3 linked regions of the Arabidopsis thaliana genome follow. The protein of the gene in region 2 interacts with the protein of the main gene of each other region in a pairwise test. Each region holds a gene or a part of one and is shown on either strand. Other genes may lie near its edges.

Region 1 (6,713 bases), on a different chromosome or scaffold from region 2:
TGTATTCGTATTACTTCTTCCACCTCCACCTCCTCCACTGCTTCCTCCGCTAGAAGGAGGGTTGTCTGAGCGAGAGCCTCCAGTGTCTCCTGGTGGCGATGATCTGCTACCACCATTATCTCCATTACTCCTAGAAGGAGGAGAAGGAGGAGAGCCGCGTGACGGTGGAGTATCATTGCCACCATTGTTTCCTCCATTTCCTCTTTCTCCTCCACCGCCCTGTGACGGAGGGGAAGGAGAGTTATTAGAGGAATTAGGAGGGTTAGGAGCTTGTGGAGCTGGTGGAGATGTGGAATCAGGAGGTGGCGATGATGATGAGTCTCCTTGAGGAGGTGTAGGAGAAGGAGGAGACGGAGCCGGCGGAGAAGAGGTGGTTGAATTGGTATTAGACGGTGGAGATGGAGAAGAGGTGGAGTTTGTTGGAGGAGCAGATTCAGGAGAAGAAGCCATCGGAGATCAAAATTTTCCGGTAACGAAAATAAAAACTCTCCGTCTCCTCTCTCCCTTAACCACTCAATTATTCTGAGAACAACAACAACAACACGTAGAAAAAACAGATCATAATCAAAATGGTGTTAACGTTGGAACAAGTTCTTGTCTTATTATGTTCGTTAGATCGTTAACAAAACAGGTAATGCTAAATATAAGAGATTAATACAAAATTAGTTAAGAGATTAGCATGAAAGTGTGTACCTTAGAGGAAGAGATTAAGGGGAGAGAGTTTTTGAACATTTGATCAGAAAATGATAATAGGAATAAGGTGAAAAAGGAAGATTGAGATTTGCTCTGTCTTCATTCCGAGAAACATGCCTCTTCTCTCTCTTTCTGTCTTAATAACAGTTTTGTGTTAGTTACTAATTGTAATAATCTCCGGTCTAATTTTTCTCTTTTTGGCTCCGTGATATTAGGAGCTAACGATTGTTGATTCATTTCCACGTAACCTCATGCATTATTACCTTAATTTGTCAGGAAAATCTCTGGTTTATTTTGGTCCGTCAAATCAAATCATTGCTCCTCAGGTCTTCCCATATGTGATATGTCTCCTTTTTCTTCAATATTGCTCTAGAGCAACATAATTTTTCTCACAATTAAAGGACTTCAATTGGGAACAAATGTCAAGGTTTTTTATTATTTAGACCTTTGAGCATGATCAAACTAATTTCTTCACGCACAAGTTCATCGATTTCTTTACGAATCTCAGGGTTCTCACCCCTCAAATATCAACTATGACTCTACTTCAGTATTGGTAATCCTCTCCTTTCCATCAATTAAACTAAGACTTAAAAACCATGAAGTGATCAATATGTTTTGTTTAAGCACTTTCTGATCTCTGGAAACATTAATATGCATACTCTAGAGTCTAGAATTAGATGTGTAGTTAAAAATCGAACAATTCTTGGTTCACCTTTTCATTCACCTCTTTCAGCCAATTAGAATATGTCACCTAATAAATAAATAAACTCATTTAATTATAAAATCTATAATCTTAACCACTATTTCATAAACTCAAACCGATATATAATTTTGTTTAATTACAAAATTTAAACTCTAATTCTATTTTGTAAATCCAAACCGACATTTAAACTCGATTAATTGTAAAATCTAAACTTAAATCGTTCTTTCTAAAACTCAAACCGACATTTAACCTCATCTAATTGTAAAATCCAAACCCGTTTATAACTCTAAACCGACATTTAACCTCGTTTGATTCTAAAATCTAAAATCGTTTATAAACCTAAACTGGTATTTAACTTCGTTTAATCATAAAATTTAAACTTTAACCCTCTCTTATAAATCCAAACCGATATATGATTTTGTTTTGGTGAACTATTAGATTTTATAATTAAATAATTGTTATTGTTTTTTATTAGGTTGTAGATTCTCATTAGCTACAGTAAAAAGGGATGAATATAAAAATCATACTTTGTCCTTTACAAAAAATCACACCTTATAATAGATATGCCAAATCATGTTGGATTTAAAAATTATTCTACATAGCCATGATAATCTAACCTAATTATTGACTCTCTAAGGGCATCTCCATCCATGAGAAACCCACAAAGTTTCTCAAACAAAAAAAAATTAATATTATATTATAATTTGAATTTTTGATTAAAAAAATATTTTTGTTAAAAAGTTGAACCAATAGTGAGAAGCGAATTGTCATGATGGGTTGTAGAGAGTATCTCAAAGTTTCTGAGAATCTTTCTACACTCTCTCTCCTTCATTTTTATTATTTTTATTTTTTTAATTGTGAGAAACTCTTATGAGAAACCCCCAATAGAGATGGTTTTAGTTTGAATCTCAAGTCCGTCACGATCACCACGAGGACCCCCACCACCAAAAAGCTTCTCCATCTCCTCCAATGGCAATCCTTTCGTCTCCGGCAACATAAAGAAGAAGAACCACCATGCCGCCACCGCTATTCCGGCGAATACGAAGAACACGCCCCCTGTCGTGATCGCCTTCGTCATCGACAGAAAACTCATTGAGACCGTCGCGTTCATGATCCTATTAACCGCAACACCTATACTCGCTCCCTGAGCCCTAAGTCTCAACGGGAATATCTCGGAGCTGTACACCCATGTGATAGGTCCAAGCCCTATGGAGAAAAAAGCTACAAATGCATACGTAGAGACGATGCTTAAACTCAATGCCCACGCTAACCGCCCAAATCGCTGAACCATCGTGAGACTAACCGCTAAACTGGTCAATGCGAAGACCATCCCACCCGTACTGGTCAACAGGAGCTTTCTACGACCTACCTTGTCGAGCAAGAAAGTGGCTATTATTATGAAAAAGGCCTTAGTTAAACCTACACCGACCGTGGCTAGTAAGAGCTTGTCTTTCGAAACAACTCCGGCTTTCTTGAAAATTCTCGGGCTGTACAACACGACGGCCTCAATCCCCGTCGCATGCTCGAAAAAGTGTATCCCAACGGCCGCTATCAAGATCAAACGCACCGCAGGTCGCGGTTTTATCACCAACTCCCTCCAAACACTTTTACCGTGATTCTTCTTCTTAACGCCGCCACCAACTTCTTTTATCTCTGTCACATCTACTTCCGCAGCGGTTAAGATGTCTCTGAACCGTTCTTCAGCTTCTTCTTCCGTATTGGATACCAAAACCATTATTTTCTTGGCTTCTTCTAACCTACCTTGCATCACAAGCCACCTCGGCGACTCGGGCATTCTTGTAATCCCAAAAGCCAATATCAAAGACGGGAACGCTGCGATTCCAAGCATCAATCTCCATCCAAGTTTCAACGTCAGTTTCCCAAAACAGTAATTCGAGACATAGCCTAGTAAAATCCCAAGACTAATACAAAGCTCAGGTAGAGAAGTGAGAAAGCCTCTATGTGACGCAGAGGATATCTCGGCAGAGTAAACCGGAGCTATCATGAGAGCAAACCCTACACCAACTCCGGCAATACATCGTCCGACCATCAAAACAGGATAGTTTGGGCCGTAACCCATAAGAACTGAGCCCACTAAGAATATCACGGCGGAGAGAGCTATGGTGTAACGTCGGCCGATGACGTCAGACGTTTTCCCCGCCGTTAGTGATCCGACGAGTGCACAAAGATTCAAGATTCCGGCCAAAACTTCAATCTGAGTGTCGTTTATTTTTAGATCATCTCTTATAAATATCTGAGCTCCGCTCATAACTCCCGTATCTAAGGACAACACACCATTACAAAAAAAAAAATATTCGTTAATATAAAATCATTAATATAATTCCATTGAATATATCTTTATATGATATATGTAGAAAACTTTTGTTTGATATGTAGAGAATGTTAGTATGTTACCATATCCAAAGATGATAGAAATGATGGAAGCAACAATGGCACACCCGAAAGCGAACTTGTTCATATGAGGGTTTGGATCCGAACCGGGAAAATTATGACCATCAGCATGAACCATGTTGAGTCTTTTTCTTCTCTTTTTTTTTTTTTGGGTTAAATTTTAGAATAACTTGTTATATCGATTGTGTGCATTTACTAGTATATATATACACATAACTATATATGTCCACCACTTGCATCCATAGTGGAACAATGACGATCAAAAACTTCTACTGTTGTTCCACAGTGTTTGTGGGTGCCCACGTATTCTGGTACGAGAATTATATTTCTGCAAGATATGAATTTTCCTCAAGATTTAGACGTATACAACCTGAGAAGTATATCGAGCAAAATAAATTGAAAAGATTTCCAACAAAAAAAAAAAGTAGTGTAATCAGGCAAGTGTTTTAAGTTTTAACCAATACATACGTAAGTTAAAATAATAATTAAAAGGTTACAATGAGTTTAAAAAATGGTTTCGCACACGGTCTTCAAATAATTTGTGACGACCTTCGTTGAACTTGAACTTGGTCTTCTTGTTTTCAATTTTTATTATTTTTTAATAAAGGAAGTGAAGATTTTTATTAGATGCTATGTTACATGTAAACCCGATTATTGTAGTTTTGCAATTGCATGTTACGTATAAAGTTGTTCTCGTGAGTGGAATGCATGAAAAATTGTATGTCGTAAACTATTTATGAAACTCTAAAGCAAAAAGTTTCCGTTGTGAAGTCATATGTATGAGAATTCAGAATTGATCATTCATTATAGTAACATATGCTAGAAGAAGTTATATCCACCATTTTTAAATGGTAGGTCATCAATTTTAATACGATATGACCAAAAATATTGCTAATATTGTAAGTTAAAAGTCGCCATCTTCTTCACTTTCGGCATTTTCCTGATCTATGTTCAATAGTGGCGTAACCTTTAAAGATTCTTTTCCACATTTATATAATTTGGTGAACTAAATTTATACGGTGCATTTATTTTCAGTTGGTTTCTTTTTCTTATTGAAGTGATGAAGTCCAAAATTAAACTTGTTTTGACGAAACAAAAAAACTTGTATCCAACAAAAAGCCGTTGTTCTCAACAGACGAATAATACTATCAGACTATATGTATCATTACATAATGAAATTGATATCTGTTGGGAAAAAACTGATGTGTGATTTGATCAATAAATCAGAACATCATAAGTCATAACGTAACCTATAGCTCTGTTTGTATGTGCAAGATAAACAAAAATGTTTTTGGGTTCCAACTAATGTTCATTTTAGCATGATCGATGGAAAATTCTGAAATTGCCAATTCTATCATTTATATTTTTGTCATATGCTTTGTCAGTTTGGCTGGCCTAGAGTTTTACGTCCAATTAGTCTGTTGAGAACTGTATTTTTGTTTTTCTTACTCGTACGTTGTTGGAATTCTGAAACAAGATGTTATTACGCCTCCAGTATTAAATCAATATTTTACCCCGCTAATTATAACATTATATATCTTGGTGGACTACGTCCAATTTATGTTTAGTCTTTTTTACATTCGCTACTAATAAATTGGTATCATAACTTCGAATTTTCAACATGCTTTTGTAATCTGGTAAGCATACATTTGTAAAATTGTAATGAACATAAGAAGCAATATTGGTGTATTAGAGAGACAATAACTTATTTCAAACTTCTAGTTTTTCTAAATAATTCTTAGTGTATACGTTTTATAGATCTCTAAATCTGTTAGAAGTAAAGGTTTACACATTTAATGGATATACGATATATATATTATTAAAAAAGAAGAAGTAAATCTGGATAATCATCTAGCTAGTATCTATATATATAGTTGGCAAAAACGCTAACCTTTGGGATTTGTATACGTAAATTATGCAAATGCACAAAATCCATGTAAATAGTAAAGTTTTGATATGATTCCTTGAAAGTTATATTTTGGTGAGCTGAAAAAGAAAGATACGTGACGAAAAAGTAGTATTTGATTTGTTTTCTTGAAGAGCATATACCATAATGAGTAACTTACTCAAACAAGTAAATGGCATGCGTTTTTTTCTTTTCACTTTTAATTGAAAAGGCATATATTGTCGCTATCAAAAATCAAAACCAAACGAAATTTATACTATGAGGTTAAATGAATTTGTTGGGTAAGAAAATGATATACCTTCAACGCACGGATTACCTATCTTTAATCCAAAAAGCTTTGGTTTAAAGGCAGATAATCGATAGACTAGCTACGTCAGATCAGAATTTAAGTCCTCGAACCAACATTCTTCATGCTGAGTTTTTTTTAGTACGAACCTTAACATGCATTGTAGTCCAAAGCTGATTGGCATACACATCGTGTGACAAAATAACCAAGACAGATCAATCATTTAGGTCAACGATAGAAGGAGAAATCTTCTGGAAGAAGAGAAAGAGAAATTCAAAGTGAAATTGTGTGTATTAGTTGGGATACATTTGGCCGACACAACCAGAAAGATAAGTTTGGGGACTTTCCGATACAAGTGATAACTTGGGTAGGTTAGATCATCATATGGGTAGGTCTTATTACTTTATTCAAAAGTTTCACCAAAAAAACACGTAGTTCTTTTTTTTTTCCATCTAAAACTTTATTAGTTCTTTATTTGAACAATGTCAACACATTAGGATTTTTTCAAAATTCATAAATAATAAATAATGAAAGTAGCCCTTATTTTGTCAAAATTATCGTAATTTCTAATTGAATTTTTTTAGAAATGGTTTTGATAAAAAAAAAACTTTTTTACTAAAATTGAAGAACCCAACGAATCACTGATATGCATGTGTTAGTACAAATGCACATGAAGTGATGATATTTTGAGTTTTTGTTTCCAACATCACGAG
Region 2 (7,757 bases):
GTGTTGTTATGCGGCCAAGCTGCTTTTTGCGGTGGGATTTGTATACATATTCTAACGCTTTTGATAATCTTACGGTGGCTTCTCCTCCTCCAGAACCTCCTGTGACTGTGCCACAACCTGCAGGTGATCAGGACAACCCGACCAACAATGGTTAGTCTTCCACCTGAGAAAACTATCATTGTAACAAAAAAACTTAAATATATGACATTGTTTTTCTATGTGTTGTGAGAAGATAGCAAAGGAATCTCAGCTGGAGTTGTTGTGGCGATCACCGTTCCCACTGTTATTGCCATCTTGATACTGCTGGTTTTAGGATTTGTTCTTTTCCGGAGAAGAAAATCCTACCAAAGAACTAAGACTGAATGTTAGTTTCTTTGTGTTTTACCTCTTTATTGTTTCCTTTCGTTATCAGCATGTATACTCCCGTAGCCAAGACGGGAAACACGAAACTAATACACCCATTCTTTGCAGCTGAAAGTGATATTTCAACTACAGATTCATTGGTATACGATTTTAAGACAATTGAAGCCGCAACTAACAAGTTTTCAACAAGTAATAAGCTTGGTGAAGGTGGATTCGGTGCGGTTTACAAGGTAACAAGGTCTCTGTTTTCCATTTTTTCTAAGTTCATATTGGTTTATGGAAATAACCAACAATGTTTGTTTCATTCATTGTACGTAGGGTAAGCTTTCTAACGGAACTGATGTAGCTGTGAAGCGACTGTCGAAAAAGTCAGGACAAGGCACAAGGGAGTTCAGGAACGAGGCTGTTCTTGTGACAAAACTTCAACATAGGAATCTGGTTAGACTTCTTGGATTCTGTTTGGAAAGAGAGGAACAGATTCTGATCTATGAATTTGTCCACAACAAAAGCCTTGACTACTTTCTTTTCGGTATGGTTCCTGTCAATAATTTTTCTTATTCAAAGGATCCTGCTTCAGCTTTATACTGATTGATTGTCGATATGTGCAGACCCGGAAAAGCAAAGTCAGCTAGACTGGACCCGGCGATACAAGATCATTGGAGGAATTGCTCGAGGGATTCTATATCTTCATCAAGATTCACGGCTCAAAATCATACATCGTGACCTCAAAGCCAGCAACATTCTCTTAGATGCAGACATGAACCCAAAAATTGCAGATTTTGGATTGGCAACTATTTTTGGAGTGGAGCAAACTCAAGGAAACACGAACAGAATTGCTGGAACCTAGTAAGTTCTGCTCGTAGTAGCTGAACACTAAACCATTTTCTATTGCATATTAACCCGTGTTGTATGTTTTTCAGCGCTTACATGTCTCCCGAGTATGCGATGCATGGTCAATACTCCATGAAATCTGACATTTATAGCTTTGGAGTCTTAGTTCTTGAGATTATAAGCGGCAAGAAAAACAGCGGCGTCTACCAGATGGATGAAACTAGTACTGCAGGAAACTTGGTCACTTATGTGAGCATAAAGTCCTCAACTTTCAACAATTTAACATTTTAAAACATATGACCAAGGTACTTAATTGTTCATTGTATTAGGCTTCGAGGCTTTGGAGAAACAAGTCACCATTAGAGCTGGTGGATCCAACTTTTGGAAGGAATTATCAGAGTAATGAAGTCACTAGGTGCATCCATATCGCGCTGTTATGTGTTCAAGAAAATCCAGAAGACCGTCCAATGTTATCAACAATCATCTTAATGCTGACTAGTAACACAATTACTCTACCAGTGCCTCGCCTACCGGGATTTTTCCCACGAAGCAGGCAACTGAAACTGGTATCTGAAGGATCAGAGTCTGATCAGTATACAAGCAAGTCTTCCTCATTTAGTTCGTAAAAATTGATGTGGTTCCTCATCATAGCTTAAAAGTTGTAACAGAAAAATGGTCAGATGACATTTATATTATTTGTCCACGGACATAAGAAACATAGCAGGTTTATCTGTAATTGTATGTTGTACAGTGTCCACTGTAAAATGCTTATGAACAGTTCACAGTTCTTTAAGAATCGTTTCTCGATTACTGGTTTTACTCTCTTCATGCTGAATCAAATTACCTGCTAGATCGTTGTGTAAGCTTAATTTGGAGGGAAAAGTCACTGTTACGTCTTCATGGAGAAACGTGTAAATGGTATATATCTTATACTTGCTTGTGGTTACAATTACAATACAAACATTCTATAACAAAAGAAGTTTTTAACTTATTTTCAACACCAATAGATTCAGGAATCAGGTATGAAGGGAAAAACTCATCATCATCGAGGATGTATATCTGTGATGGATGCATCGTCAACAGACCCTAGAAGAGATTTGCTCGTTGTATCTGTATCAAGCGGGTCTTTTCCAATTCTACTCTGAAAGAAAAGACCGGGTTGCCGTGGCACGGGTAAAGTCACAGTGTTACTAGTGAGCATCAGAACAATGGTTGACAACGTCGGACGCTCAGCAGGATCTTCTTGAACACATAAAAGACCGATATGGACACATCGAACAACTTCATTCCTTTGGCAATTTTCTACAATAGCTGGATCCACGAGTTCTAATGGTCGCCCGTTACTCCAAAGCCCCCAAGCCTAGAATATTATTCAATCAATCAACACTTGCAACTATGTTCAGGTAAATATGGAACTTGATAGGTTTAAAACTTACATATGAGACCAAGTCATGTGCACCATCTGTTTGGTAGAAGCTGCTATTCTTCTTGCCACTTATAATCTCAAGAACTAACACTCCGAAGCTATAGACATCAGATTTCATTGAGTACTGACCATGCATTGCATACTCGGGAGACATGTAACCACTGTAACCCACAACAAAAACTATGTTAACCAAAGGATGTTCAGAAAACTTCAACTTATAAACCCACAACAAAAACTATGTTAACAAAAGAATGTTCAGAAAACTTCAACTTATGAGAAGTTATGAGGAAGACTTACTAGGTACCAACTATTCTGCTTGTGTTCTCTTCGGTTTGGTCCAATCCAAAGATCCTAGCCATTCCAAAATCTGCAATTTTAGGATTCATATCCGCGTCCAAGAGAATGTTACTGGCTTTGAGGTCACGGTGTATGATTGTGAGTCGTGAGTCTTGATGAAGATACAGAATCCCTCGAGCAACTCCACCGATAATCTTGTATCGTCGAGTCCAATCCAGCTGGCCTTTCTTTGCAGGGTCTGTCCACATCCATAAATCACAATGAGATCTCTAAACATTCGTAACCCCAAGTATCAAGAATCATTGAAACAAAGCATTAAATGCAACTAACCAAAGAGGAAGTAATCAAGACTTTTGTTGGGCACATACTCGTAGACCAGTACTCTTTCTTCTCCGTCTAGACAAAACCCAAGAAGTCTAACCAGATTTCTATGTTGTAGCTTTGCAACAAGAACAACCTCGTTCTTGAACTCTACTTCACCTTGTCCTGATGACTTTGATAGTCGCTTCACCGCAACTTCAGTCCCATCCGATAAAGTACCCTGTTGTTTTCATCAGCATCATCCCATTATCCAAAAGTGTTGGCTTAAAATTTCAAGAAAAAAAAAACACAGCTCAAGGGAACTATAATTTACCTTGTAAACCTCACCAAATCCACCTTGACCAATCTTATTACTCTCTACAAAATCATCTGTTGCAGTTTGAATTGTTCTATAATCAAGCTGTAGTGAGTCTGCTGTTGTGATATCATCTCCTGTTACACAATGAAAGTCTTTGAAGCAGGAAAAACAAGCTGAGCATTGACATTAAAGATCGTTTATCACTTGAAATCTTTACCAGCAAATGCAGATGGTGTGTAATAACTCTTCCTTGCCCTTCTTGTAAGGAAACAATAACCAGCTATAAAAAGCAGAACAGCCACTATAATAGGCACAACAATGGCTATCACTAACACCTTTGAATTCCCATCTTTTCCTGCATTTCAAAGATTATTTGCTTAAAAATCAGATAGAAGAAAACTCTCTATATTGGTTTTGCCAATTTCAAGAAATCAGGGCAAAAAAAAAAAACAGAGGAAAAAAACAGAGCTCTGACCAGATCGCGGAGGAGCTGAAACTGGAGGAGTAGAAATTGACGGTGGTGGTGGTGGTGGTGGAACGGCGGATTCGGTGTAAAACGCGTAGATCTCGTATCTTGAAGTACAGCTCGGATTAATAATTCTTGCACCAATTCTGTCAGTAGGTATTTGATTGATGACCAGTTGGAGACAACGCGAACAGTCTTGTCTCGTGAGATCAGGTGTGCACTGAACCAGTCCATAGAAACTCTGCAACGCAGTAAAATTGTTTTTTCTCGTACCGAATTTTTTGGAACTGTTCAAGGCTACGGTGGCGGCTTGGTTCAGAGTAGGCAAAACCAAATCACTTAACAGGTCTAGTTGGTTAGATGTCACATTCCGGGTGTTAACCAAGATAACTCCACCGGTGGTTATTAGTGTCGAGAGAATATTCTGGTTAGAGTATCTAAGTACACACTCATCGTAATAAAGTGTGGCTTCTTTCTGGTTAGGACACCGAGTTAAGGTGTCGTTGACGGCAAAGGAGACGCATCTACGGCAAACTTCCGTTGAGACATCTCCACGGCAGTTGAAAAGTCCGGTGACTCTGTCTGGAGCTTGGCCGACGGTGGCGTTTTGGAATCCGGTGGAGTAGGAAGCGTTGCGGGAAGAAAGAGAAGCCAAAAGGGTCTTGAGATTGTTGTTGTAAGTGCTGTTACTTGTGTAATTTGCCGTATTTTGACAGGTGTGGTATACGTAAGTGGGATCTTGAGCAGAAACTCTGAAACTCGTGAGAAAGGAGAAGAGGAAAAGGAAGAAGAAAGAGGAGTAATAAGACATAATTGGGCTTTCTTGATCTGTGTTTCTTCTCATCAAGCTTTGAGTGATATATGAAACAAATTTGATTGTTTGTTCTCTCTCAGTGACTACCGTAGATAACGTTTTGTGCTGACGAAAAGTCAAGGTCAAGGTCAACGCGTCTCGTATTAAATTGTCGGGTCTTGTCCAACTTCTTGTGTTTAGCTACTAATCCATTACTTATTTTTTTAATATATGAAATATAGAAAAAAATTACGGAAAATATAAAATCATTTTAAAATGAAGAAAATTATCAAAACTGTCAAAATTTAAAACATAATAACTCTAAATTCAAGCTTTGAACTCTAAAGTCTTTTTTTTTTTTGATCAAAAAAAAGGTAGTTGGGATTTTCAAGAGAAAATAAATGTAGCAGTTGGCATGATTTCAAAGATCTTAATTACTAGTAATAGAATTTAGATATACATGAGAGAAACTAGCTAGCAGTAGAATTTGTTTCGTACTTTTCCTTGAACAGAATTGTTGAAATTAGGAATCTTTGTTGACTATTCTTCAAAGAATCATTCTGGGGCTGAAAAAATTGTCGCCACTGATGCGAAGAAATTATTGGTTGATAATAGGTTTTTGTTTTAAGCACGATAATTTATTAATTTGTATATCGTATATGCTAGTATGGTTATTGTGATGTAGTGATACTAAAATAGTATTACCAAATCATCTGCCTATCGTTATCTGATATTGTTAGTTACTAATTATTCTATTACTTTTTATAGTCTTACTCGCGAGAAGTTAAATAACTTGATATTCCACATGACGTCGTTCCATATAATGGTTCCATCATAAGTCCTTTCGTGTTTTCACCCGGATATGAATCTACAGCATATAAGTTTTAATATTTAAAGTTAATATCGGAATATATAAACATGAATTTGCTATATGAATGTGAAATATTTTGACATCATCCGAATACAATGTGTTTTAAAACGAATTTTGCATCCATAAGCTCCATCTAGCTAGTTGCAAAGGTGAGAAATATTTCCTTTTTGGTTCTCAGCTTCTCATGACTATTCCAAAACGAGAAAAAAGGCAATCAAAATTTTTAAAGGCATTCACATATACATAAGGAAAGAGAAAATAAAACCGAGAAGTATTTTATGTTTGATGTATCTCCGATCCTAGTAAAGGCCCAAGATATTGATGCAAGGTATATGAGACCTAGCTCAGCCGTGATTTCTCCGTGAAGAAGACTCAGCTTTGTTAATAATTGAATGAGGCGGTGTATGATGCCAAAACCCTAGTTCGTTCTATTTGATTTTAATGATATTATTCAAAACCCTAGTTTTTAAAAAGTAACTAATTTTTTTTCGTTACTGCCAAGGAAAAACAATCGGCTTTTCATGCAACAAATCTCGTTAAAATTGGTTATGGGCCTGCATGTGAAAATGGAGCCAGAACCAGAAGAGGACTTGGTCAATGCATCGAGAACATTTGCGTAATATTCTTTTTTTTTTCTTTTTTAGTAGTTTTTAATCATCAGCGTAATCTAAGACTCCGACCAAGTCTTACACAAAACAAAAAGAAGAGAAGCTGAGAAATCTGACAAGGAATTAGAAAATGAAAAAGAAAGTTTTTTTCCATTAGTAATAACAGAGGAAAAACTTATGCTTCTGTTGGTTCTCCCTTGCATCTCGCTTTCCTTAGCTCATTTTTACTGTTACGGTGTTACGCACAACTAGAATAATCACTTGGAACACTCAGAATGTTGCAGCGGGCCAGTTCAACGATCAGACGAAGTAAACATCAAGATAGCAAGAGCAACCACTATCGACGACGAATTCAGTTTGTGAGGAAGAGCGTTGGTGTAGCTTGAGACACGTTTCAATCACGTGTAGCTAAAAATATCTAGATAATTGTAATAGAAAATAAATTAAATATTTTATGTATTAATTGGTTTAGTATGAGAAAAGCCAAAACATTGACCAAGTCTAAGATTAAGAAAGCTAGATGAGCAATTCACTATCAAAGACGAGAAGACTGAAGTAAAGACAAAATAAGAAGACTCATTAGCTGCTTCACAATCCTTATCTCTTTGATTGTAAGAAACTGAGTTACTTTATTTCGATGATACCAATTTTAAACGCAGAGAAAAAGCAACACGTCAATTTGTAAAGCAGAGCAAAACGAATTACAACTTGGCCAAAACTTCGACGTAAAAAGCAGCACATCAATTTGCTCTGCTTGGCGACGGTGGTGGTGGTGGAGATGGTGTTCCAATGGTAGTTTCGTTGTAGAACGAGTAAAGCTCGTACCTTGAATTACAACTTGGCCAAAACTGTCTTGCTCCAATTCTAGAAAGTGGCATTCTATTGATGGATCTTGTCAGACATCTCAAACAGTCTTGACTTGTAAGATCAGGAGTGCATTGAACAAGCCCGTACAAAGTCTGGAGTTCGGTCAATTCGGTCTTTATCGTAGAGAATTTTCTAGAACTGTTGGCTGCTTCCATGGCAGCTTGGTTCATATTAGATTGCACCAAAACTATAAACTGGTTTATTTGACTTTGATTAGGAGAAATAGTGTTGGTGTTACTCAAGATAAATTCTCCTTCGTTTGTAATGGCCGTCGATAGAATATTCTTGTCAGAGTATCTGAGTATACACTCCTCGTAATAGAACACAGCTTCTCTCTGACTTGGACACCTAGTTAACGCTTCGTCAACGGAGAAGGCAACGCAGTTACTGCAAACTTCCGGCGAGAGGTCTCCGCGGCAGAGGAAAAGTCCGGTGACCAGGTCGGGGGTTTGTCCCACCGTGACGTTCTGGAATCCGGTGGAGTAAGAGGCGTTGCGGGAAGCAAAAGAGGACAAAAGGGTTCTGAGATTGGTGGAGTAAGTGCTGAATCTTGAGTAAGTTGTCGTATTTGGACAATAATGATTTAAGTAAAAAGGATCTTGAGCGGAAGCTTTGA
Region 3 (6,602 bases), on a different chromosome or scaffold from region 2:
ATAGAAAATGGAGGATGTTGGCAAGACAAAAGATCCAATGTAACTGCTTGCAAGGTATTTCGTGATAAGGAGCGGTATACCAATAACTTTATCAGTCTATATCATATCTTCTTTATTAGATTATATGAATTGTTTTCAGGACACATTTAGGGGAAGAGTATGTGAGTGCCCGGTTGTCGATGGTGTTCAATATAAAGGAGATGGTTATACCTCCTGCAAACGTATGTTTTTGAATCTTCTCTTTTTAATATATCTCATTGCACATTTTTGTTCAATGATCTTAACAAAGTTTGTGAAACAGCTTATGGACCTGCGAGATGTTCAATGAACAATGGAGACTGCTGGTCTGAAACCAGAAAGGGTCTAACTTTCTCTTCTTGTTCAGTTAAGTGACTGCTGCTTTTTCTTCCACTTTGCTGAAGTTTGAGACTTTTTCTTACCTTTTGTATTTGTTTGATGTAGGACTCAGAGACATCAGGATGTCGTTGCCCTCTAGGTTTCCTTGGAGATGGTCTAAAATGTGAAGGTGAAATTGTTTCGACAATTTGTCATAGTAACATCAGAGTTTCCTTGACATTGTCTCTGACCAATCTTTATTGCTTCCTAATAACTAGACATTGATGAATGCAAAGAGAAATCAGCTTGTAAATGTGATGGCTGCAAATGCAAGAACAATTGGGGAGGATATGAATGCAAATGTTCTAACAATAGTATCTACATGAAAGAAGAGGACACTTGTATCGGTATGTTGAAAACGATGTAAAACTATTTTCAGATATTATTAGAAGGAAAATCTCAATGTAAACATGTGCAGAGAGAAGAAGTGGATCAAGAAGCAGAGGGTTGTTCACAATTGTGGTTCTAACCGCCATCGCGGGTATCTCTTTAGGTGCTTATATATTCTACAAGTACCATCTTCAGGTAATGTCACTTTGCTACTAATTATTATGACTTACCCTTTGCATCAAACTCTAACGATCCTTTTATATATACATTAAAACTACAACTTTGCAGTCATACATGGATTCAGAGATCGTGTCCATTATGTCTCAGTACATACCACTCGATAGCCAAAGCATTAACCAAGACTCTTTTAAGTAAATATATAGGAACTCTTGTCATCTCAAATGAAGATTGTTGAATCTTGTTATATGGGTCCTTTTTGTAAAGAATCAAAATTTTGAGGCGTTTATTTAAGGATTTGAAAGATTTATGCAAAAAGTTTAAAATTACGTAAGTTAAAAACTAAAAAAGAGATTATTGCTTTCATTGAGAGTTGAACTCAAGACCTCCCGCTTACTAAACGGGTGCTCTAACCAACTGAGCTATGAAAGCTTTTGCTTACCTGTCCTGTTTTTAAATAAATATCCTTTCAAACATATGAATACAAGTACCATCTCTCTGCTCAGTGTTCGTCCTCCTCTGATCCTTCAAGTTCAATTTGTTTTTTCTGACCCTAAACGCTAATATTCCCTTGAGTTTTGACCTATATTTGGACCAATGACGTGGATTAGTTCATTCTTTAGAGTTCATCGTCAACGTACTGGTAAGTCTTTGTCTTCTTATGTTTCTGAATGCTGTGATGCTGTTGCTATCTTAATGCCACTTGCGTTGTACATTTTGATCAATGTAACTAATTTAGTAACAGATTTGAGATAACTGGATGAAGTCAATTTAGGTTGCAGAGGATTTCGAAACTGGTTGATTTGAACTCTAAATGACGAGAATGGAGCCTGAGAGAACAATTTTGCAACATAGTTTGGATTCAGTGTACTTAACTCTATTTCATGTTTTGATAAAGAGTCCTTGTGAAAAAGACTTTTCTTATATATACAAACTTTACTTTTTGCAGATTACAGAGAATACAGAACGAAGCAGTTCATGAAGAAAGCAGAATAACACTAGGGTGGAAGGAAGAGACCTTTTCAGAGGTTACATTTCTTCTCTGTTTTCCATAGTTGTTATGTTCTTGGCACAATTTGCTGATGAGCCATATCGAATGTTGCATGAAGACCAAGCAGGAAATAGTATAGTAACATGGCTAAAGTGCAAACACCAAACCTTACAAAAGCCATTGCTCCCAAAGATCCCATGAGAAAGATGTTTGTTGCTATTGATAAGCACGGGAGCCATGGCACTAACGGTACGCCCCACACTTTCGGTGTTCGTTGCTGAGGAACAAAGAATACGATCCCCAAAGTTCCCAAGAACCAGAAAGGAACTGTTACTGTGTAACCGATCCATGATCCCTTGCGCTGCATTCCCCAATACGCCGAAGTACCCATTGAAGAAACAACGACGAATAAGAGACAAGTGATGAGCTTAATGAGATGAACTCTTGGAGTATCTTGTCTCACGTAGTATCTCCTCACGAGTAGTGCGATAGGCATCATTGTGAAGATGAAGAGAGTACTTATCGATAAGAGGCTTGCCAAAACATCTAAACCAGAAAAGAAAGCAATGAGAGCACTTGGAATTGCTACTAGGAGGTTAGCGTTTATCGGTGTTCCTGTTTTGGGATGGACAAGGGCAAATATAGGCGGAATCATGTGGGTCCGTGCGATGTGAGTAACGTATCTCGCTTGTCCCAATGCTCCTACTAAAAGAACTGTGGTCATCCCTTTGAGAGCACCAAGTGCCACCAAGTACTTTCCCCATTTCATTCCAACGCTCTGAAACGCTACTGAGTAAGCTGCATTTGGATCTATATCTGTATACTTCTGCATCATACTCAAGGATAATGCCATCAAGCAGTATATCACTGTTATTATCGACATTGAACCGAGTAACCCGATTGGTATGTCTCTTGATGGATTCTTGGTTTCTTCAGCCATTGTTGCTATGCTATCAAATCCTCCATATGCAAAGTACACAACTGCAGCTGCTCGGAACACTCCCTCAGGTCCAAAAGGCAAGAATGGAGTCAAATTTGATGTGTCGGCGTGGATAAAACCAGCGATTATAACAAAAAATATCACTAAAGTGTTGATAGCAGAAGCTATCCAGTTGAGCAATGAAGTCTTTCTTGTGCTGATCGATGCAATTGTAGCTGAAGCGGCTATAACAACAACAGCTATTGGGTCCAAGAGATTAAAACCGGAACTGAGATCTGTTTTGATCCGTAGAGCGTTCGGGCTACGATTCAGAAGAGTTGCAAAATATGAAGTCCAGGCTCTAGCAACAGCTGCAGTTCCAACAATACTCTCAAGAAGTATATTCCCTGCAGTGATGAACGCCGCAAAATCCCCAAGCTCAATCCGTAGATAGGCGAAAGAACCACCAGCCACAGGGATTTCCACAGCGAATTCCGTGTAGCAGAAGACAGAGAGCATAGCAGAAAGACCTGAAACAACATAAGACAAGACAATAGCTGGTCCTGCTTGCTCATGAGCTTCTTGACCTGTCAAGACAAAGATTCCAGCTCCAATCACCGACCCGAATCCAAACCATACTAAATCCCACCATGTCAAACACCGTTTCATCTCGTGCTCACTCTGTTTCTTGAGCTCAAACCGCTCGTTCTCATCATCAGACCTACTAACCAACCTGTTCTTGAACCTGGAACATGTCTGAGACAGAGCAGCTCTGTAACTACCAAAGCTCTGGAAAGATTCCTCAGGAAAGAAATCTCTCTTGCTCCATCTCCAGTATCCTCTCTCTTCACCTTCCATTCTCTCTGCTTCAAAGATTTGTTAATGAAGAAGAGCTAAAGAGACACCATCTAATTTTGTTCCATTGTTTGACTAGTAGAAGTTTCAGACAGTTTTTTTGTATTTTTGCAGCTTCCCTGACTTTCCTCAACTTTGTGTACTGTCCATTCATAAACCTCCCCACTTGTTAGATTTGCTACGTCACCTTCATAACTCTCATTGTCTTTATTGGCGTCTTCTTACCGTTTCGTTTAGTACTTCAACCATGAAAATTCATGATGATAACATACATAATTCAGTGCTTTTTTACTCTTAGGGGGCTGTAAAATGATAAATTGTCATATTAGTCCTTCAGATTTTTAAAAGATGTACATTTAATCCTCTTTTCTCAATTCGTCATAAATTAACTTCAGTTTATACTCAGGGTTTTAGATTTTCCCGTGAGATCGAATTTGATCAGTGAGAGAGGAGGAGATATGGGTGCTCAGAAGAAAGGCGGCGCCGCCGCTAGGGTTTCAGAGGATGCGGAGGTACAGAGTCGCCACCGATTGCAAGCAATTCTTCTTGCCGACAGTTTCGCCACGAAATTTCGTCCCGTAACCCTAGAACGCCCAAAGGTACTGTTACCGATAGTTAATGTTCCGATGATTGATTACACATTGGCATGGCTCGAATCTGCTGGAATAGAGGAGGTTTTCGTCTTCTGTTGTGCTCATTCGATGCAGGTTATCGAATATCTGGAGAAATCCGAGTGGTATTCGCATCCAAACTTGCTTGTGAGAACGATTGAGTCGCACAAATCCATCAGTGCTGGAGATGCTTTGCGTTACATGTATGAACAACAGACAGAGACGTCTCAGATTCAAGGTGATTTCGTTCTTGTTAGTGGAGATACTGTGAGTAATATGCCACTTGCTGATTTGATTCAAGAGCATAGAGAGAGGAAGAAGAAAGATGAGAAAGCTATTATGACTATGGTTATTAAGCAGTCTAAATCTTCTCCACTTACGCATCAGTCAAGATTAGGAACAGATCAGCTTTTCATTGCTGTTGATCCTTTGACAAAGCAGCTTCTTCATTACGAGGAAGATAAGATTGATCATCCAAGTGGGTCAGTTTGCTTAGAGAAGTCATTGTTGGATACTAATCCTTCTGTTTTAGTATGCAATGATATGCAGGATTGCTACATTGACATATGTTCTCCTGAAGTGCTTAGTCTCTTTGAGGATAACTTTGATTATCAACATCTGCGTCGTCATTTTGTCAAAGGTGTGCTTGTGGATGATATTATGGGTTATAAAATCTTCACTCATGAGATTCACTCGAGCTATGCTGGTAGGATTGATAATTTCCGAAGCTATGACACTGTTAGCAAGGATATAATTCAGAGGTGGACATATCCTTATGTACCAGATATTAATTTCAGTGGAAATCGGCCTCTAAAGCTCGGGAGACAAGGGATATACAAGGCTTCTGATGTAGTTCAATCACGATCTGCTGATGTTGGAGCTTCTACTGTCATTGGATACGGTACGAAAATTGGTCATGGGGATAAAATCATGAACTCGGTTATTGGGAATGGATGCTCTATTGGATCAAATGTGGTGATTGAAGGCTCATACATATGGAACAATGTTACTATTGAAGATGGGTGTGAGATAAGGAACGCTATTGTGTGTGATGGGGTGAAAATCAGAGCAGGAGCTGTTCTGCAGCCTGGTGTTGTTTTGTCTTTCAATGTTGTAGTTGGACGGGACTTTGTTGTGCCTGCATACTCAAAGGTTTCCCTACTTCAACAGCCAACGACAGAAGACAGTGATGAAGAGCTGGAATATGCTGATAGTAGCAGCGGGACTGCGGATCATTTGTCAGGCCTAAATCTGCAAATGGAGTCCAAAGCATCTGAGCTTGGTCCTGATGGAGCAGGTTACATATGGGAAGTATGTGAAGGGGCTCATGATGAGGAGTGGAAGCATTCTGTTGCACCAATCCCCAAGGATAAACTTTCTGAGATTACTCAGGCCATAGACGATGATGACACAGATGATGAAAGTGTCGTCCCGACTTCTGGAGAGTTGAAATCTGATGCTGATAGTATTAACACTGATGTGAATGATCCCAATGATGATTACTATTACTTTGAGAAAGAGGTTGAAGGGACCGTCTTAAGGGCTGTTGAAGAGAATATCAAAGTGGACCTTGTAACTATGGAGATTAACGGGCTGCGGTTGTCATTCAACATGGAATCTGCAGATTGTGCTGGAGCAACATTTTTCTCGATGATAAAACTGGCACTTGATACTCCACACAATTCTGGTAGTGAGTTGTATAAAAACGCAGCGAGTATCATTACAAAATGGAAGGATCTTCTTGGCTTCTACGCAAAGAAAATTGATGAACAGATAGAAGTGATCATGAAATTTGAAGAGATGTGTCAGGAATCTCACAAAGAGTTGGGCCCTTTGTTCACACAAATTCTACATCTTCTATATGACAAGGACGTGTTGCAAGAAGATGCGATACTGAGATGGGAGGAAGAGAAGGCAGGCGCGGATGAAGCTGACAAAGTATATCTGAAACAATGTGATACATTCATACAGTGGCTCAAAGAAGCATCTGAGGAGGAAGATGAAGATGATGAAGATGAAGAAGAAGAAGAAGATAACTGAATTGGTATACCTGAGTTCGATGGCTCTCAACTAGTTGTTCATTATGCAGTTGATGGCCTCACATTTTGATTGATCATTTACTTTTAAGAGCTACTCTGTTTTTTGTTCTGTCATCATCAATAATCTTTTTTTCTTCATGTCTTCTGTTCTGTTGCTTCATGAGATACTTTCTCATCCACGAGTTTGCTCACATGTATCGTTTGATATATAATTTTACTTGAGTACTAAATCTCTTAATTTTTATTTGCCAATTACTCCCTCTACTTTTTCTTATTTCAAAAAA

What was found.
Region 1: the proteins of CRK10 (region 2) and AT2G18480 interact in a protein complementation assay, tested with the Arabidopsis thaliana proteins (one large-scale study listed by BioGRID).
Region 3: the proteins of CRK10 (region 2) and CAT5 interact in a protein complementation assay, tested with the Arabidopsis thaliana proteins (one large-scale study listed by BioGRID).

Annotation. Positions count from the first base shown.
Region 1 is NC_003071.7:8,007,318-8,014,030, forward strand, and holds AT2G18480 (Major facilitator superfamily protein), read right to left. Parts: upstream 3,961-6,713; 5' UTR 3,927-3,960; coding exon 3,812-3,926; intron 3,677-3,811; coding exon 2,265-3,676; 3' UTR 1,784-2,264; downstream 1-1,783. Other genes in the region: PERK4 (roline-rich extensin-like receptor kinase 4), read right to left, coding at 1-450. UniProt on the Arabidopsis thaliana protein: Plasma membrane sugar-proton symporter.
Region 2 is NC_003075.7:12,135,260-12,143,016, reverse strand, and holds CRK10 (cysteine-rich RLK (RECEPTOR-like protein kinase) 10), read right to left. Parts: upstream 5,023-7,757; 5' UTR 4,847-5,022; coding exon 4,012-4,846; intron 3,892-4,011; coding exon 3,754-3,891; intron 3,671-3,753; coding exon 3,552-3,670; intron 3,459-3,551; coding exon 3,248-3,458; intron 3,156-3,247; coding exon 2,918-3,155; coding exon of another isoform or gene 2,917-2,917; exon of another isoform or gene 2,786-2,916; intron 2,782-2,785; coding exon 2,631-2,781; coding exon of another isoform or gene 2,571-2,630; exon of another isoform or gene 2,555-2,570; coding exon 2,237-2,554; 3' UTR 2,095-2,236; downstream 1-2,094. Other genes in the region: CRK11 (cysteine-rich RLK (RECEPTOR-like protein kinase) 11), read left to right, coding at 1-150, 233-364, 472-593, 682-892, 972-1,209, 1,284-1,443, 1,524-1,820; EP1 (receptor-like protein kinase-related family protein), read right to left, coding at 7,015-7,757.
Region 3 is NC_003071.7:14,742,214-14,748,815, forward strand, and holds CAT5 (cationic amino acid transporter 5), read right to left. Parts: upstream 3,912-6,602; 5' UTR 3,672-3,911; coding exon 1,962-3,671; 3' UTR 1,784-1,961; downstream 1-1,783. Other genes in the region: VSR5 (VACUOLAR SORTING RECEPTOR 5), read left to right, coding at 1-54, 140-221, 302-384, 463-526, 615-743, 815-921, 1,015-1,101; AT2G34970 (Trimeric LpxA-like enzyme), read left to right, coding at 4,127-6,319. UniProt on the Arabidopsis thaliana protein: High-affinity permease involved in the transport of the cationic amino acids (e.g. arginine, and, to a lower extent, citrulline and glutamate). Transport mostly basic amino acids, and, to a lower extent neutral and acidic amino acids.